Arabidopsis thaliana: one gene and its partners. The protein of the gene in region 1 interacts with the protein of each later gene in a pairwise test. Each region holds a gene or a part of one and is shown in the gene's direction. Other genes may lie near its edges. The genes, in order: AT3G12620, SAUR9 and AT1G79130.

Region 1 (4,604 bases):
AATTGAGGTTCAGATTTTGATTTGAGGAGAGGAATAATCTCTCTGATCTTCTTTTACAACACATCACCAAATCAAATCCATGTCTCTCCGACCAATCTCTCTTCCGATCGGAGCTTTTGAACCACCACAAGTTTTTCAACGGTTGAGATCGAATTTTTAATTTTTTAAACTTTGACCATTTTCGCAGCCTTGACCACCGGATTTTCTCTAGCGATCGCCTCACGACCAGCGGTTTTGTAGTCGTAGCTACAATCATGACGATCGGAGTAACGGTGCTCTGAGCAGAAAAGCTCACCGCATCGGCACCTGAATCCGGTCAACCCAACTTTCTTCCGACAACCAGAACATCGGTTTACGATCTGTTGATCTCTCTTCTTCACCGCATCGATCTCTCTTGGACGAATCACGACTTTAGCTGGTGACGAACGAAGATTGACAGATCTAGCCGATCTCTTCAAGATCGAACCTGATTCAACAACACCTGCGGCCGCCGAGACGAGAGATGCGTTGAAACATTTCTGACACATGTTGTTCGTCGCAGGATTCGCTGTAACGCCGCAGTTATTGGTACATAACGTCGTTGTTGTTGTCGTCAAGGTTTCGAGAACTTTGAACTCGGTCTCTTCCTTCTCCGTTCTCTGAGCCATCGTCTTATTGAATCTCCCTGCTCCTCCGGCGAGTTTACGGATCGATTATGAGGAGAGAGAGATAGAGAGGTAGAGAGAGGTAAGAATGGAATATGGGCCTCATAGAGAGACGCGTTTCCATCTCTCTTATCATCTCTCCTTCCACCATCCCCACTTTCTCGTCTTCTGGTGGATTTACGTTAATACCCTCATCGCTTTTTTGGAATTACCAGAGAGGATTAAATATGCATTTCAATGATTCTAGAATGGCTTATGACGCCATACAGCGGACAACAACATGTTTCTCTTTCTCACATTTTTGCTTTTTTGGGTGTATTTTCTGATTTTTCTTTGAGTATACTCTAATTTATTAGTATCATGACTTTTATAAACTGAGATATCAAAGAAGGGTGAGGAAAATCGCTGGAATATGGGCCAACTTGTTTATTTATGTTTCTCTCCCAACAAAAAAATCACCAAAGAAAAGTAATACCATAATCATATATATATCTAGAGGTGTTATTGTGTTAACTAGTTTCGAACACCTGTATGTTTATGTTTGGTTCGACTTCGGACATGTTAGATTTTTATTTTTTACTTTAGGGAAAAACAAAAAGAAAGAGATTTTGGGGGTTAAAACTGTCACACAAAAAAAACGACCTGTGAGGTTGTAAAGCTACGCGTACAACATGTCAACATGCCAATTTGCAGACTTTATTTTTTTTCCATGTTTTTGCGTTAATCAGTAGTATTTTATTTGCTCTTTGGCTTGGAGGTTGAAGCTTTAATGGTCTTATTTTCCTGACCATATTCAACAAGACAACAACCCAGAAGGTGGATTGTATTTCGCGAAATGTTTCTACTTTTTTCTTATATAGATAATGGGATGATGAATTAAAATTGAAATTAATCTCTACAGCATGTAAGAAAATTCGAATATTTTAGTCATTTGATTTTGATAAGTCAAATGAACTAACCATAATTCAACTAGCAGTGGAAAACTTCAAATTTGTTCCTTCAATCAATCGGCTGATGAATCATCAGTATCATTGGACAAAACTAGGAATTGGTGATCAGGTGATACTTTTGATATTTGCATATATTTGATTTCATTCAGATTATGGAAAATGTAAATAAAAATCTATTTATTATAGTAATATTTTAATAAAATTAGTAATCTTGAAAAATGGAGAAACGTAGCTAACTATGGGAGAAAAAGCTGCCTAAAACGTCGGGTTGTTTCTGAGGTCAATGCCTAAACAGCTAAACTCGAAAACCAAATGACAACAAAAAAGCATCAAAAAAAAAAGAAAAAAAAAAAGAGAGAAAAATAAGAGAAATCGAACCCCCAAATAAGGAATTCTGACAGAGTCGCCTGCTAGATTTGTTTTCTTTCTCTCTCGTCATCTCTCTTCCTCTCTGTAATCCCAACCGGAGTTACGATTCCTTCTTATCGTAACTCCTGCTTCCGATCTCGATCCAATTTTCACTTTTGTTTTGTCCGAACGGTAAATCATTTCGCGGCTTTTTTTTTTTAAGGTAATTGATCTCGATCCTTGAAGAAAATTCGTAATTGTATATGCGCGACAAATGTGTATTGATGCATTCGTATTGGTGTATTGTTTAGGGAAGGAGGAATAAGCAAATTTTGATTTGATTCCGTTTTTTTGGGGGTGTTAGTGATCTTTTAGATGAAGTAAAGAAATTTTGATTATTGAGGGGATTATGTGAGTTATGGTATCATCGGCAACTATATTGCGGATGGTAGCACCATGTTGGAGGCGACCTTCTGTTAAAGGAGATCATTCTACTAGAGACGCTAATGGTCGATGTGATGGTCTTCTTTGGTATAAAGATTCTGGTAACCATGTTGCTGGAGAGTTCTCTATGTCTGTTATTCAAGCTAATAATCTTCTCGAAGATCATAGCAAGCTTGAGTCTGGACCTGTTAGTATGTTTGATTCTGGTCCTCAAGCTACTTTTGTTGGTGTTTATGATGGTCATGGTGGTCCTGAAGCTGCCCGTTTCGTTAATAAACACCTCTTCGACAACATCAGGAGTACGTTGTTTCCTTCTTTTTTGTTATATTTGATATGTGTGTGTTTGGGACTATCTATGTTCTAAGTTGGTGACATTTTCTGATTGCAGAGTTTACATCAGAGAATCATGGAATGTCTGCCAATGTTATAACTAAAGCGTTTTTAGCTACGGAAGAAGATTTTCTTTCTCTTGTCCGGCGGCAGTGGCAGATTAAACCACAGATTGCTTCTGTTGGAGCTTGTTGTCTGGTAGGGATCATATGTAGTGGATTGTTGTATATTGCAAACGCTGGAGATTCTCGGGTTGTGCTAGGAAGACTGGAAAAAGCGTTTAAAATTGTCAAGGCCGTTCAGTTATCGTCTGAGCATAATGCAAGTCTTGAATCTGTGAGAGAGGAGTTGCGCTCGTTGCATCCAAATGATCCTCAGATTGTGGTCTTGAAGCACAAAGTTTGGCGTGTCAAAGGTATTATACAGGTAAAAATACTTTCACGGTAATGCGAGTTGCTGACTTCTAGACTCTTTTCTTGCAAGTAGCTTGACTGTGAAAGATACAACTAAGTAAGCCCTATGCATGTATAAGAAGAGGATTTTTCGCTAGATATAACCCGTGGCTGGTTCTTGAAGGTTTCACGGTCGATTGGTGATGCATACTTAAAGAAAGCAGAATTCAACCGGGAACCATTGTTGGCAAAGTTCAGGGTCCCTGAGGTTTTCCATAAGCCCATCCTTAGAGCAGAGCCGGCAATTACAGTACACAAAATCCATCCAGAAGATCAGTTTCTTATATTTGCATCAGACGGCTTGTGGGAGCACTTGTCCAATCAAGAAGCTGTTGACATTGTGAACACATGCCCGCGCAATGTAAGATTGCCACTTGCTCTTTCTTACTCTCTCTCGTTTTATGTGCAAATAGATAGAAAGATTGATTGAGAACATGTGGGTATGCAGGGGATTGCAAGGAAGCTCATAAAAACAGCTCTAAGAGAGGCAGCAAAGAAGAGAGAGATGAGATATTCGGATCTAAAAAAGATCGATAGAGGAGTGCGGAGACATTTTCATGATGATATAACAGTCATAGTTGTGTTTCTTGATTCACATCTCGTCAGTCGCAGTACCTCACGCCGACCTCTCCTCTCCATCTCAGGTGGTGGTGATTTAGCTGGACCTTCTACTTGACTCTACTCTCACCACATCTATATATATCTTATATATACATTATCCACTATATATAAAAACACATTGCAAAACGCAATTCAAGTTCCTTCTTTTTTTTTTTCTCTATATATAAAAATTTCCTCTTAACTCTGTTTTTTATTCATCCCAAAAAAAAATGAAGAGTTGAAATCCAATGTATAGGTCTTTTGGCAAACTGAGTTTATTATGGATAATATAAAGAGATATCACTTGTTGGAAAGATTTCTACTACTGACTACCTCCATCTACCACTTTTTGCTTATGTTGTCATTTTTAGTGTATATACAAAAACATAAGCGAATGTGTAATTGATGCAGTAGAGACCGATACTGCTACAAGTTCGTCTTTTATGTCAAAGACAAAACAACATTGCTTTTCATGGCCTAAGAATTCAAAAGATCTTGTCAGTCACAAATTAAAGTTACCTTAAATATAATTGACTACAGTTCTCAGTAAAAAAATCATCCGACTATAGTTCCAAAATATTTAGAATAGTTATCTAAAAGACCTTGAAAGATCACGAATAATTCACGCAATAGTAAATCGAAATGAAAACAAAATAATCTAATGATCCATATGTTCGCACATGCATTTCATCGAATTTGAATTCATTTGGAGATATGGCGACAAAACTAACATTTTACAAATGGATTACTGTATATTGTTGTTATGATTGAAATTATGTTTTGGTTATGAGCAAGGACATGGAAATTTTTTACTAATACTAAAATAAATAAATAAA
Region 2 (3,426 bases), on another chromosome or scaffold:
TTGATTAGACAAAGGATATACTATTGTAGAAACAGCCAAAAAGTCCTTTTCAACCACACTTAAAATTTCCTTTTTTGGCTATCAAGATATACACGATATGGTGTTTCTACCACGGAAAATTTGCAATTAATTCGACTGGAATTATCACAAAGCCAAAGATGAAAATGTTTGATGATGTTGATTGATTCATCACCATTAAAATGATAGGCAAAAAGCAAAAAAAGGAACGAAAAATAAGAAGTTGAATATATAAATGGAAAAAAGTACGTGGAACACAAGGCGTCGGAGGAATGAAATGGGAACTTGCATGGATTTGATACTGTCAATTAAACAAAAGATAGGTTCCAACCTAAGCATTTGTTTTCGTTTTCAGATTTTCACATGGGGACGAAGTTTGCTTAGCTACATCTTTTCCCATATGTTTTTATAAACATATTTCCGATAAACTATTTAGATCATTATATTTTTAGTTACCAAATTAGTTAACCCATCAAATTTTCATATTTTAATCTTCCGTAAATGATATTAATGGTTTGTAAGTTCTAACTCTTTGACTGAATTTTGAAATGACCCCAAAATGTTTGTAGATATACAATTAACGTTCTCAAATTCCGCTGATTTTTCCGCATGGCACTTATTATATATACTGTATTTTTGTCGGTGACCAACATAATGTTAAGTTCCGCTTGGTCAGTAGATATAAAATATAATGTCATATGAACCTCGTAATAACCCGTATATCCTCTCAATGAATTTGGTTAACCAAGAAAATATAAAACTACCAAACTACATTAATCATTTGGTGTTATTTTGTACATCTTAATTTATAGACAAAAAATAAAATAAAAGAATGGGCATTAAAGTGTTGGCAACTCTACTTGTAGCAAAAGACATGTGATCTTGTAGTTGCAAGTACGTACTTTGGTTTATATATCTCTATACTTCGTCCGTAATCCTTTTGTAAACGGACTCAATTTATGACAAAACGGGTATCTAAATCTATTAACGGCCATATGGTATTTTTTGGTTATTTATTCATATATTAGTTGTAATAAAATTGGAAGTTTCAGTAGAGACAAATTCTGAAGAAGAGTTTATAACAAGTGTAGAGAAAACAGACACTACTTGTATTAATTTGTAGAGTTGTGTCTAAATAAAAACACAAAATAGAGACAATGTAGGGTAGTGTTTATATAGTCCCTACCTTATTTATAAGACCCTCCAAAAATTTTATTGTATGCATTCTTTTACATATTTTTGGCCTTTCCCTTATGGCTTGTCTCTAAAACTGCTTTGTTTCCTACATCCCACATGATATTTGCTTTCACATTACATATATAAAAAAGAATATTTTGATGGATTGATATAGTGGTATAGGAAAATTTGGGAGCATTGTTATATCTTTAGATAGTCCTGAGTTTAATTCTTCATTGATGCAAAAAAAAAAAAAAAAAAACTTAGACCATTTGGCTACTCTATCTAGGCCATAATATAACAATTTGGCCTTGTAAGAAAAAACAATAACCCTTGAAAATAGTTGGACGTTGTATTTTTATGTCTTGTGATAAAAGGAAAATGTTCAAATTTTGAAGAGATCATATAAGATAATGTACGAATAAAAACAAGTGTTTGGACATTTATGAAATTTAATAATTATATTTGATGTCATATGTTACGTACTTACGCGGCTTTGATTTGATCACCAAGGAAACACTTCATGTGGTTCTGCATGAATTAGTCGTTGTTGTGTATATAATACATATAACCTAGTCACAAATCATCCAAAAAGTCATAAGTAAACCTAATAAATCTATGTTAAAAGCATATATGAGATTTTTCTTATTAAATTTAATAAACACTTCCAAAATTTTCTCTCTCATTGTGCCCTTAAATACCCCTCCATATTCCTCCCCACCACCTTCACATCCACACCTTTCTTCAAACATACCAAACTCTCTCTCCCTCTTCCCTCTTCTCTCTAGCCAAGTTAGATTTCAATAAGGTCAAATCATGGCGATAAAGAAGTCGAACAAAGCGGCGTTGTCTCAAGCAGCATCTCTAAAGCAAATCTTGAAGAGGTGCTCAAGTCTAGGAAAGAAGAATCAAGGTAATTGCTACTTCAACGACGTGCCAAAAGGTCACTTCCCGGTCTACGTCGGTCAACACCGAAGTCGCTATGTGGTCCCAATCTCGTGGCTAGATCATCATGAGTTCCAGTCACTCCTCCAACTAGCCGAGGAAGAGTTTGGTTTCGAGCACGAGATGGGTCTCACTATCCCTTGTGATGAAGTCGTCTTTCGTTCTCTCATCTCAATGTTCAGATAATACTCGATATCGAGGACTGGTCTTCATTAGCTCAACTGGTCATTCTCTCAAGAAATATTCCCCTTTTAAGGAAGTAAGAGTTTGATCACATTGTCACACTCCAGACTCGGAAGATCAAATCCTCAAAGTTATTACCAAGAAACAAGAAATAAGGAATATATGCAATCTATTATTTAGGTTTTTTTTTTCTTTGCTAAGAAGACGGAAGCAAATGGCGGGGATCGCGTTAAGTATCGACTCAAGATTTGTGGCTATATTAATATACCTAACAGTTTTTTTTAATTAACCACTCTTTTGGGATTTTTTTTTCCTTCTATATATTTTCGGTGCCTTCTTTTATATATTTTATTTTCAAATATTTTGTATATTAGTTTGGATGGAAGACTTTTCCCTCAAGTCAACGTGTATTGTTGACCGTTGGTTCTTGAGAGGAATAGCTAGTTTTATTTGTATTAATTTTTTATTCAAGAATTTTCATTCTAAAACTGTTGTTAATTATTATCTTCTATAAAACCTTCATAAGTTAACTTAACTAGTGTTACAAAATAATGATTGATTAGCAAATAAATTTGGTTTCAATAAAATAAAAACTAAATACAACATATTAAAAAATATTATAAAAAAAACATTCACGGTCTATCCAGTATCAACCATAACTGGCCAAACATCAACGATTTACCATTTGTAGTTGCAATCTTGTTTCTACTTCATCTGATATTTGTAGTTGCAATCTTGTTTCTACTTCATCTGAGCAAAGCGTAATGAAAACTATTTATATTTCGATCTGTAGACTTTAATCGTAAGAAGAAGGAAAAAAACTAATCGTCATGAGAAGACGATAAGTCGATAAGTATGATCCAAAGTCTACAGTAATTTCTGTTTGAGTGGGGTTCTTATTGATAACAATAATTGCTTTTTCGTCGTTTCGTTTTCATGATTTATCATTTGTTCCAATTGCCTCGTTTTTGTTTTACTATATCAAAAACTCATTTTAATTTGGTAAGGCCGCCTTCAAGATTTGTGTCGATATATAATAATACAAGCAAAGCTTATCACATAGTTATATTTAAGTGATAATGAAATTTATTTTCTTATATATTA
Region 3 (2,992 bases), on another chromosome or scaffold:
GAACCTACCCGTAAGAGATGGATCGTCTCGTTTCGTATATTGATTTATATCCTCTGTTGTGCATTTGATATCATAACAGTCAAACCCTAATTCCATATGGATCACCACCGCAACACTTTCACCGGCGGCTAATGATGCGAGGAAGAAAGTGGCAAAAGAGGGACAGTGAAACCGAAGACTATATAGCAGCTTTGGAGTTTCGATGGTTCAACGATTCAGCAAATCCAGGTTTTTGGCTTTCCCAATTTTTTTTTATTAATTAATTTTGATTTTAAGGGTATTTTTGGCAATATATTTCAAATAAACATTTTAAATATAAAAATATTTTTTTAAAAAAAAGATTTAAATTAAAGTGGTAATTTAAAACTTTAAACTTTAAGAAAATAATTGATAAAATTTAACTAAAACAATGTTAATTTCATTATTAATTTTTGAAAGTTAGTTTAAGTGTTAAATTTTAAAAATATCGAAAACTAACCGCGCCTAGGCATCCCGTCCTTAGTTGGTCCGTAAGTTTTGTGGTGTTCGAAGTTCGGCATGGTTTTCACGTAATATAGATTTAACACTTAAACTCATTTTTAAAAAATAATAATAATTTTCACTAAAAAAAATTAGAACAATTTTAAAATAACTGATAAATTTTAACTAAAACCATGTTAATTTTACAGTTTACTTTTTAAAAATAAGTTTAAGTGTTAATTTTGAAAACGTCGAAAACTAACCACGCCTAGACATCCCTTTCAAGCTCGTGAATACTCATTTCCATCTCATGGAGTTTCTTCCTCAATTCGACCACCTCTTCCTCCAAATTCGACACTTTACAGATAATCGCCTCTTCGCGAGATCCAGTTGCTCGAAAGAATCCGTCGGAATTATCGATAGAATCTCAATAGGGAGCTCAAAATCCGATCGACCTTCTTTGACTATTCCAAAAATCTCGACATCTCTTACGTGAATCTTTTTAGGGTTTGATGGAAAAGACACAAAGAAGATTAGGAATCTAAGAATTTTTCTCACTAATGATTATTTGTCTTCTATTTAATTTGGCTACAAGCTTTGTTTCTTGTTCTCCCACGTTTAAACACTCTTTTCCCTCCAAAAAAAGTCAAAGATGAACATTAATTTTGTGTTCGTTTACTTTCTTATGAAATCTAGTCAAAGAAGAATATTAATTCCAGAAATACAATTAAATAAATTATGATACAAAAACCATCTATCAATATTTATATTTTTGTTATTTTGCTAAATTATACTCTTTTTCTTTTATATATATATGAAAATATATATACATGGAAAGCAAATAAAAAGTAAATTAATAAATACTACGTCTTTTTCTTATCCACTCGTCTCTGTGTATTTATATGTTAATTTACCATCAAACGGGAAAATTACGTATTCATGGTAAGAAATAGATTAATAAATACAACGGATTTTTATCTACATAGTCTCTTGGTTTATTCTGTACATTTCATCATACATAAAAAAGTCTAAAATTAATTTGTACAATAATCAAAATTTGATTTTAGCAATCCACATTTGTTAACAATTACCCTTACTATTCTTATTTGTAATTTGACTAATGTAAGTGAGGAAAGTTTTGAAAATAAACCAAATTTAGAGAATTTCTCATATTGCATAATCAAAATTAGGTAGTTCTTTCAATTGTTAAATTGACCATGACTCATTATGTTAACACATATATGTATGAAATAAATTAAATACCATTTTTGTGTCATCTCAAAATATAATAATACTTAATATACACATTTCTGATAAGCTTAATGTGAGTCCACACCTCTCTCCCATATTTATGTCTCTCTGTCTCTAGCATTTTTGGCTGTCTAGGATCAAAGATGAAGCCTCTGATTCGACGTCTGTCACGAATCGCAGACTCATCCTCCTGCAACCGAAATCGCAGCGGCGATATCCATCACCCGACGTCAACGTACTCCTCTTCAGTTTTCTTGGTCAAGCGAGCAACCGTCGCGTCGAGTGTTCCTTCCGGTCACGTTCCCGTCAACGTAGGCGAAGATAAGGAGAGGTTCGTGGTGAGTGCAGAGCTGCTGAATCATCCTGTTTTCGTTGGATTGCTGAATCGATCAGCTCAAGAATACGGATACACTCAGAAAGGAGTTCTTCATATTCCTTGTAACGTATTCGTGTTCGAGCAGGTTGTAGAGTCTCTCCGATCTGGCATCGCTGATGATACATCGGAGCTCATTGCATCGTTATCTGGTGAAGATGTATCTACAGAGTAGATGATGATGATTCTGTTTTTTTTTTGTTCTTCGATCTTCTCCTTTTTTATTTGAGTGATCGGAGAAATTCGTCTTGATGATTTGGATATGAAAATTGTTTTTTCGATTTTATCTCAAAATTATCAATTTAATTTGTACTGTGAAATAAAATTGAAGTGACAAAATACAAGTTATTTCACGTACCGTACTACGGATCATCATCAACTATATAATAATAATAATTATTTTAAATTTGAAGTCAATATGAATTATATATCCATGATATCGTCCCAACACCTAACATTTAATTGATTGAAAAGTTCAGATATATGATGCGATGTGAGTCTTGCGTGGATAATACACTATGAAAAGATGTAAATCCACTATAATGATTACACATATTTTTTATTGAATTTTTGTACTTATTAATTGAAGACCTATGATAATTCGAAAAAAATATAGTATAAAGTAGCAAATATCTTGTAGTAACGACGAGAGACTTATAGTTATAGGTGTATTAAAATGGGGTCTAGAACAAAAGGTCTCAACATGGCCGTATCTTCTTGTACCGTTGTACGGCTGGACTTTTTTTTTTTGTGGGGAACAATTTGCTGTTCACAGCGTACAACATACATTAGCTGAGATCTCCATCTCTATTTTTATAACAAAGTAAACGGTTTGTGGCGAACTGTTAGTGGATTAGAGGATGATTTGCGTATCTTTCAACTCTATGGCACATGTAAGACTACGTTGTT

Evidence for each region.
Region 2: the proteins of AT3G12620 (region 1) and SAUR9 interact in a two-hybrid assay, tested with the Arabidopsis thaliana proteins (one large-scale study listed by BioGRID).
Region 3: the proteins of AT3G12620 (region 1) and AT1G79130 interact in a two-hybrid assay, tested with the Arabidopsis thaliana proteins (one large-scale study listed by BioGRID).

What each region holds. Positions count from the first base shown.
Region 1 is NC_003074.8:4,008,750-4,013,353, reverse strand, and holds AT3G12620 (Protein phosphatase 2C family protein), read left to right. Parts: upstream 1-1,678; 5' UTR 1,679-2,165; exon of another isoform or gene 2,166-2,253; 5' UTR 2,254-2,360; coding exon 2,361-2,685; intron 2,686-2,774; coding exon 2,775-3,142; intron 3,143-3,292; coding exon 3,293-3,529; intron 3,530-3,616; coding exon 3,617-3,844; 3' UTR 3,845-4,084; downstream 4,085-4,604. Other genes in the region: SAP5 (A20/AN1-like zinc finger family protein), read right to left, coding at 165-647.
Region 2 is NC_003075.7:17,088,021-17,091,446, forward strand, and holds SAUR9 (SAUR-like auxin-responsive protein family), read left to right. Parts: upstream 1-1,913; 5' UTR 1,914-2,010; coding exon 2,011-2,325; 3' UTR 2,326-2,853; downstream 2,854-3,426. UniProt on the Arabidopsis thaliana protein: Provide a mechanistic link between auxin and plasma membrane H(+)-ATPases (PM H(+)-ATPases, e.g.
Region 3 is NC_003070.9:29,769,466-29,772,457, forward strand, and holds AT1G79130 (SAUR-like auxin-responsive protein family), read left to right. Parts: upstream 1-1,752; 5' UTR 1,753-1,853; coding exon 1,854-2,258; 3' UTR 2,259-2,422; downstream 2,423-2,992. UniProt on the Arabidopsis thaliana protein: Provide a mechanistic link between auxin and plasma membrane H(+)-ATPases (PM H(+)-ATPases, e.g.